2 linked regions of the Caenorhabditis elegans genome follow. The protein of the gene in region 1 purifies or fractionates together with the protein of each later gene. This does not show direct contact. Each region holds a gene or a part of one and is shown in the gene's direction. Other genes may lie near its edges.

Region 1 (4,736 bases):
GAGCAGTTATAAATGTGTCACAAATTAGAATAATATACTAAATCACAAAACAAAAACTTGGATAATAAACATGAATTGAAGAGTTTCTATATAATTGTTCCGAACTTCGTCATTGGTGCCGCGGGGATTCTCACTATCAGGACAACTGTTTTATTTTCACTGTTTCCACATTCTGTTGCATTTTTTTGCAAAGATTTGTTCATGAACGTTCATTTCTCTCGATTTTATCGGGTGCGGATATAAAAATGTTGACAAATAATTATTAATTAACTGGTTATTTTTGTAAATACAACAAAAAAACATGAGAACCATTCAATTCAAAGAACTTACATTTCCCGACACTTTGATTATTTTCCTATAGAGCTTTTTAAAAGCTTTTAGCGTTAAATATAGCTAGACGAAAAATCTATTAGTAAGCGAGTCTCATATTCATTTTCCCTCTTTGATACGTTATTGGAAATCTCACGTGTTGAATAGTTTCATATTCCCAAATTACTTTTGATTCCAACTATTTAATATTCATCATAAAACTTTCTTTAAAAATTTCATTTCGAAATTCTGCCTTTCGCGCCAACACGAGAGACGCAGACACCGCGACGCGCACGCCGCGAATTGTCAGCATCTCACTGCAACCTGTTACTTCCTATTTTCAGCTTGTTTTTGTGTTTTTCTAAAACGTTTATTTTAAAAATTGATTTCAGAAATTACAGTAGTAAAAGGTTTTTAAAGGCGCTTTCTTTTAATCGCTTACTGGGTCTCGACGCGATGATGACTTCGCAATCTCATTGGCGCCCTTTCGCTCTCTTCTTCTTAACTTTTTCATTCTTACTCGCGACGACTATCCCACCTCTTCCATTTTTTTGTGCTTCAATATGTCCAATGTTGCTTCGAATATAATTTATTTACATTTCAGCCAGTCATGTTCCTCACTCGCAGCGAGTACGATCGTGGAGTCAACACTTTTTCTCCAGAAGGGCGTTTGTTCCAAGTGGAATACGCTATTGAGGCCGTCAAACTCGGATCTACAAGCATTGGAATCAAGACGAGCGAAGGTGTTCTTCTCGCTGCTGAGAAAAGATCGACATCGAAGCTGATGGTCAATGACGCGATCGAGAAAATCAGCAAGGTCGACCAACATATTGGTTAGTTCTGTGAACTGTTTATCATCTTAATTTATAAGAATTGTTTCAGGCGTCACATTCGCAGGTTTGATTGCCGACTCGCGCACTCTGGTCGAACGGGCACAGATCGAGGCTCAAAATTTCTGGTTCACTTATAACCGCAAAATTCGCGTGGAAGACGTCACTCAGTCGGTCGCCAATCTAGCTCTTCAGTTTGGAGACGACGACGTCAAAGCATCAATGTCTCGTCCATTTGGTGTAGCAATGCTGTTCGCTGGTGTAGACCAAGAAGGAGCCAAACTGTTCCATCTCGATCCATCTGGAACTTTCATCGATTGTAAGGCTAAATCGATCGGTGCAGCTAGCGATGGAGCTGAGCAGAATCTCAAGGAGCAATATCATGATGTAATTTCGTCAAATATGGTTATACAGGAAAATGTATTTTATTTCAGGCTCTGACTATCAAGGAAGGACTCAAGATGGCATTGGCCATTCTCAAGCAGGTGATGGAAGAGAAACTGAACTCCGCCAATGTCGAAGTCGTTGTTATCAAACCAACAGTTGACGCGAAGGGGCGTCCAATCGGAGAATTCACAAGAGTGTCGAACGAAGAGCTCGATCAAGTTATCACATCGCTTTGAAGAAATTATTCTTTCCTGGTTTTTTGTCTCTTGTTTCTTATGGTGTAAAGTAACTTTATTTGCGATGTTCAGCTATTTCAATAAATTATTTGTCGTTCTTTTATACATTTTTGAAAGCGCCACACATTCAATACGTCCGCACCCTTATAAATGATCATATCTAATATTCCCAACCAGGAGTTACAGTATTCAAAAAAATTTATATTAGAACCGAGCTCGGCGACGAGCGAAATCATTCTAAAAAGAAAACTGATTAAATGTAGAAGTATATACACCGATTTTCTGATTTTGACATCACCGGACTCGAATATTTTAATTGGTGTTGAAATTAATCAATAATTTCTCTGTTTTTTATTTAGAAATATCATGATTTGGAGGTTTTCCCTCCACTTTCAACAAAATTAATGATAATTCTGGTGTCGATTTACGAGAAAAGTTAAAGGCGCATGGCTGCTGCCGCCTTGAGGGTCTCGTGACGAAACACATTTTCTGTTGTTGAGAGGCGAAACATTCAGTGTTCCTAAAATTTTTTCACTGTTTTTCCTTTTCCTTGTTGAAAATGTGATCGATTTTTTCAAAATTTGATTAATTTATATTCAAAAATGTGAATCCGTTCAATTCTGTTGCACTAAAACCACCGATTTTCAAAATTGTACATTTTCAGACCTCAGTTTTAATATAATTTATTTTTTCAGTCTTTAAAACGTAACCGCACGCGATCCTTAATTCACCAAGATGGTTAGGGAAGACAGATCTACTTGGAAGGCTAACTACTTCACCAAGCTTGTCGAGCTTTTCGAGGAATACCCAAAATGCCTTCTCGTCGGCGTTGACAACGTTGGATCCAAGCAAATGCAAGAGATTCGTCAAGCCATGAGAGGTTACTATTTTTAATATTCTCAATTCCTTTAAATCGTAATTTTCAGGACATGCTGAGATCCTTATGGGAAAGAACACCATGATCCGTAAGGCTCTTCGTGGACACCTCGGAAAGAATCCATCCCTTGAGAAGTTGTTGCCACACATCGTCGAGAACGTCGGATTCGTTTTCACCAAGGAAGATCTCGGAGAAATCCGCTCCAAGCTTTTGGAAAACCGTAAAGGAGCCCCAGCCAAGGCTGGTGCCATCGCTCCATGCGACGTCAAGCTTCCACCACAGAACACTGGAATGGGACCAGAAAAGACCTCTTTCTTCCAGGCTCTTCAGATCCCAACCAAGATCGCCAGAGGTACCATCGAAATCTTGAACGACGTTAGTTTTCATTTTTAATAGTATATTGTAATGTTTTCATTTTAGGTCCATCTCATCAAGGAAGGAGATAAGGTCGGAGCTTCCGAATCTGCTCTTCTCAACATGTTGGGAGTTACTCCGTTCTCATATGGATTGGTCGTTCGCCAAGTTTACGATGATGGAACCCTCTACACTCCAGAAGTTTTGGACATGACCACCGAGGAGCTCCGCAAGCGTTTCCTTTCTGGAGTTCGCAATGTCGCTTCCGTCTCGTTGGCCGTCAACTACCCAACTCTCGCTTCCGTCGCCCACTCTTTGGCCAACGGACTTCAAAACATGTTGGGAGTTGCTGCCGTCACCGATGTCTCCTTCAAGGAGGCCGAGACCATCAAGGCCTTCATTGCCGACCCAAGCAAGTTCGCTGCTGCTGCTCCAGCTGCCGCCGCTGCCCCAGCTGCTGCTGCTCCAGCCGCCAAGAAGGAAGAGCCAAAGGAGGAATCCGACGACGACATGGGATTCGGTCTCTTCGACTAAATCCACAAGTTGTTCTGAATTTGTTGTTAATGAAATGTTATCTCCAAAAAAAGCGTTTTTAATTACTTTTCTTTGTGGTGTTATCGAACACTTAACTATATCTCTATTTTTTTGTTTCTTGTTTGAATTTTTAATCTCGTAATTTCAGTTACTGGCCCCATCCTTCAAAAATGCTGATCTACAAGGATATTTTCACCGGTAAGATTTCTTTTTCTGAAGAAGTTTTCCACACTCCTTAAGCTAGTTTGACTGTGATTGTGCATTTTAGATCGCTTCATGAGTTCGCTGCGTTTTGCTGTGAATTCATTGTTGCCCTAATTTGTATAGTCATGGGTGTCAAATTGGCGAGTTACGTGTGGTAAATGGATGACGATCAAATTTTGTTCTGTGAACTTTGCCGTAGATGTGATGCTGTTTGTTTATAGATTGATAATGATTGTCGAACAATTTCAGATGATGAGCTCTCGTCCGACTCCTTCCCAATGAAGTTGGTTGATGATCTTGTTTACGAATTCAAGGGAAAGCACGTTGTCCGCAAGGAAGGAGAGATCGTTTTGGCTGGATCCAACCCATCTGCTGAGGAAGGAGCCGAGGATGATGGATCTGACGAGCACGTCGAGCGTGGTATCGATATTGTCCTTAACCACAAGCTCGTTGAGATGAACTGCTACGAGGATGCCAGTATGTTCAAGGCATACATCAAGAAATTCATGAAGAACGTCATCGACCACATGGAGAAGAACAACCGTGATAAGGCTGATGTCGATGCCTTCAAGAAGAAGATTCAAGGATGGGTTGTCAGCCTTCTCGCCAAGGATCGCTTCAAGAACCTCGCCTTCTTCATTGGAGAGAGAGCCGCTGAGGGAGCTGAGAACGGTCAAGTCGCCATCATCGAGTACAGAGATGTTGATGGAACCGAAGTTCCAACCCTTATGCTTGTCAAGGAAGCCATCATCGAGGAGAAGTGCTAAACTTCACTGTTAAATCATTTAATGTTTTCAATGAACTATATATACTCCCCTATCACATATCGATTGCAACAAAAACATAAATTATTGTCTCTAGTACCTTGGTTAGAATGGTTTGGAACAAAAAATGTAATTTTGTAACTTGAGTTTCATGGAAAGTTCCAAATTCGATGAAGTTGTCTCGAAGTATCGGAGGATCTTGAATAGTCGTAGCATCGAATACTTTGCTTCGTCGTCTTGG
Region 2 (3,496 bases), 3.8 Mb from region 1:
TTCTGAAGTCATTGATATCTCGGCACTGGGACTCCGAAGAGACTCACCGATGCCTGACGATGAGGTGGACAGAGAGGAGAGCAGTGCGGTCGCTGAAGACGGTCGCACAATATCTCCCACCTTTTCGATGTCTGGAAATTTATAAAATGGCTGAGCGGCAAGTCTGATATAATTACACGACATCTAAGATTGCAAATCTCAAAAATTCTAATTAATCTTGAGAAGTAAATTAATTCATCCAAAAAAAAGCAAAAATTCGTTTTTCAGGAAATTTTTTTGAAAATTTAACGTGCATTTTGCAATTTTTAAATCAAAGCTTACTAGATTGAAGCGGCGGTGTACGTGAGTGAGGAATTGTGGACCACGTTGAGGAAGCCGCAGAAGAAGTATGTGCTGAGGCAGACGCTGCTCCCCGCATCGACCGACACGACCATTCAGCGCCAACTATTTTTTCTGAAATTTTCTGCAAATATAACAATTGAATTCGTCGGACCAATTATCAGATTATTCGAAAAACCATAGTCAGAGAATTTTAATCAAAATAGCATAAAAATCAATTTATAACGACTTGATATCTACTTAAGAGAACTTTTGAACGAAGAAGATTTTTCTAACAAATATAGTCTTGGGGAATTATAAATAGTTCGTTTCTCCTTTACTGTAAAAAGTTTTTTGAAATTTAAGCCAAAACTGATAAGTATTTTAGTTTTCTACGGCGCGAAATTTGAATTGCCTGAAGGGAAAAGTGCAAGGAAAATCAATAATGGGGCGGAGTTTTGGTAGAGAAATGCGATAGGGACGTCGAAAAGCTGTTCTTCTTGCACCCAAAAGTCAAAAATGGAATATCTGAAAATCAGAAACTATCCTGATGACGTAGTTTGCGCATGGCAGTTCGGCGGTTCCGAAAGAACGGCGGACACTCACGGTCGTAACGCGACCGCGACGCAGCACCACCGCGTCGCGGTCGATTTGATACTCAACCGATTACTCAATGTCTGCAATCATTCAGGCTTTTTTAAAAGCAGATATCAACATAACAGACTAATAAAAGAAAGATGTAGCTATGAAATATGGAACTTTTGAAATTGTAAATTACATTACAGATTCGACTTCAAAAATCGATAACGGAATTCTTCACTTTTAGATGATGCTTTAATGCAGTGTATTAAGTTATCAAATTTTTATAAAGCATCAGACAGTAGAACTGACGTGAAAGTGCTCTTTGCTGAAAATGGCTGAAAATCGAGCCAATTTGCGTAAATTGGTCAATTATTAAAATATCGCACACGTGAAACGAGTGATACCGTACCCGAACTGGCGTCTCGGATAGACTTCTGTGTCTGCACTCTCTTTTCTCCTTCGAAACTCATGAAATCCTAAATTTTTTGCCTCTTTTTTCGAGTTTTTAACTGAAAATGGCCGTTTGTTACACCTTTTTTAAAAATTAATTTGTTTAAAATGATAGTGCTTTAAAATTTGTTCAGAAAATAACGAATTAATGTTTTCTGAAGTCATAGTGAATTTATCTTCCATCGCGAATTTGTCGGAGTGGTTTATTTTTTCTTTTGATTGGAACTTTTTGATAAAATAAATAAATAGTTTTTTACAAACTTATTTTTCTAGCTTCTTTATCTGAACACGTTTATTCACAACTTATTTTGTTTTCTTATCAAAATTTTGGACCTGTTAAACTTATATTTTCAGCCATGAAGTACTTGGGAGCTTATCTTCTCGCCACCCTCGGTGGAAATGCCTCCCCATCTGCACAAGATGTCCTTAAGGTCCTCGGTAAGTTTTATATCACGTTTTTCCGATATAAATACTTATATTGCAGAAGCCGGAGGTCTCGACTGCGACATGGAGAACGCCAACTCCGTCGTCGATGCCCTCAAGGGAAAGACTATCTCCGAGGTTATCGCCCAGGGCAAGGTCAAGCTCAGCTCGGTCCCATCAGGCGGATCTGCCCCAGCTGCTGCCGCCCCATCAGGAGGAGCCGCACCAAAAGGCAAGTTTTGTTTCACTAATTATGACCCACATTTAAAAATAATCCATTGCGGAGCACGATTTAAAATTTCGAAGCAGTACAGGTGGCGTGAGTCACTTAAAAATTTAAGCAAGTAAGAGATTTTGAATACTATGTGCTCCGCAGTAGTAATTTTTTATCTGGGTACGCAGAAGATCCCTATTTTTTTTAAATTCAAATGTTTCAGCCGAAGAGAAGAAGAAGGAGGAGCCAAAGGAGGAATCCGACGACGACATGGGCTTCGGTCTCTTCGACTAAATGTGTTGTTAAAGTTGTTATTCGTCATTCAATGAACGATTTAAAAAAATTTGCTCGAAAGTCGCGATGTAGAATTGTTTGAAACTTTGGGGAAAATGCCGTTATATGAATTTATCTAATTTTTGAGTCTCGAACAAACAATCCGGAATTTACATTTAGCAATCAAAGAGTGATCATGTTGAAGCCCAGCCTAAATGCTGCTGCGAAATGGATGATTCGAAATACAATAGTTAGCAATGAAAGTCTAACTCCAGAAATCAATCTTCATCTTATTACAATTGCTAGTCCACTGTGGATGAGCACTCCCGATGCTTGTCCTCTTCCAGATCCCTATTGGGCATTCTATTGGCCTGGCGGCCAAGGCCTATCAAGGTTCATTCTTGATAATAAACCTTTGTTTCAAGGATCAGAAATTGTCGACTTCGGCGCCGGCTGTGGTTCAGCCTCGATATCTGCTTCTATTTGTGGAGCGAAGAAGATTCTAGCAAACGACATTGATAGATGTTTGTTTTTGAGATTGAAGTTAATCAGTGTAGAATGAGCTACTTATTTCAGATGCACTTCTATCCACGAAGCTCAATTTCCATCTGAACAATTTAAGAGATTCAAAGATTCAATACTCTTCGATCAATTTTTTAGATGATAAAAATGAAAGAATGTCCACTCAATTTTTCACTGACTCCAAAAATATCAGAAAATTCATTCTCCTAGGTGACATGTTTTACGATTCTGACTTTGCTGAACTTCTTTTTTCGTGGCTTAAAAAGTAGGAATATCTCAAAATTGGTGCAAAAACATATAATTAAATTCTACAGAATTCAAGATGCACATATGGTCAGAGTACTTGTTGGTGACCCCGATCGTCATCCACTAGCCGAATCCGAATACTTGCAACGGTGAATACTTTGCAATTTCATTTTCAAATAGAAAATGTTTCTCATAACCTCATAAATTCGGTTTACAGATACAAAACGAAGTTCACCAAAAATCAATTGGCCGAGTTTTCACTTCCAGGATACGTCATTAAGGAACATTACGGATTCAATACTGCGAAAGTATTTGAATTAAAATTCCAATAACTGTTAAATTTAAACTGAATTAGTCTTTCAGGAATAAAATTGTTGAACTTTACTAGAAACTATTGTAACTGGCCTCTAACGGAAAGAAAATCATTCCAGGACAATCTAGGAGCTCCAAAGTCTTACAGACAAAGGA

What was found. Proteins that work in one complex are often made in the same cells at the same time.
Region 2: the proteins of rplp-0 (region 1) and rplp-2.1 purify together in Caenorhabditis elegans (affinity purification with mass spectrometry; 2 studies listed by BioGRID, with this or other methods). This does not show direct contact.

What each region holds. Positions count from the first base shown.
Region 1 is NC_003279.8:10,565,437-10,570,172, forward strand, and holds rplp-0 (Large ribosomal subunit protein uL10), read left to right. Parts: upstream 1-2,457; 5' UTR 2,458-2,497; coding exon 2,498-2,642; intron 2,643-2,688; coding exon 2,689-3,014; intron 3,015-3,059; coding exon 3,060-3,527; 3' UTR 3,528-3,581; downstream 3,582-4,736. Other genes in the region: pas-5 (Proteasome subunit alpha type-5), read left to right, coding at 920-1,142, 1,192-1,526, 1,574-1,762; tct-1 (Translationally-controlled tumor protein homolog), read left to right, coding at 3,698-3,725, 3,981-4,498; F25H2.12 (Methyltransferase domain-containing protein), read left to right, coding at 4,647-4,736.
Region 2 is NC_003279.8:6,787,947-6,791,442, reverse strand, and holds rplp-2.1 (Large ribosomal subunit protein P2), read left to right. Parts: upstream 1-1,704; 5' UTR 1,705-1,706; coding exon 1,707-1,788; intron 1,789-1,834; coding exon 1,835-2,005; intron 2,006-2,210; coding exon 2,211-2,281; 3' UTR 2,282-2,404; downstream 2,405-3,496. Other genes in the region: pqn-20 (Prion-like-(Q/N-rich)-domain-bearing protein), read right to left, coding at 1-2, 48-131, 322-418; etfm-1 (Electron transfer flavoprotein beta subunit lysine methyltransferase homolog), read left to right, coding at 2,457-2,784, 2,837-3,047, 3,097-3,177, 3,246-3,360.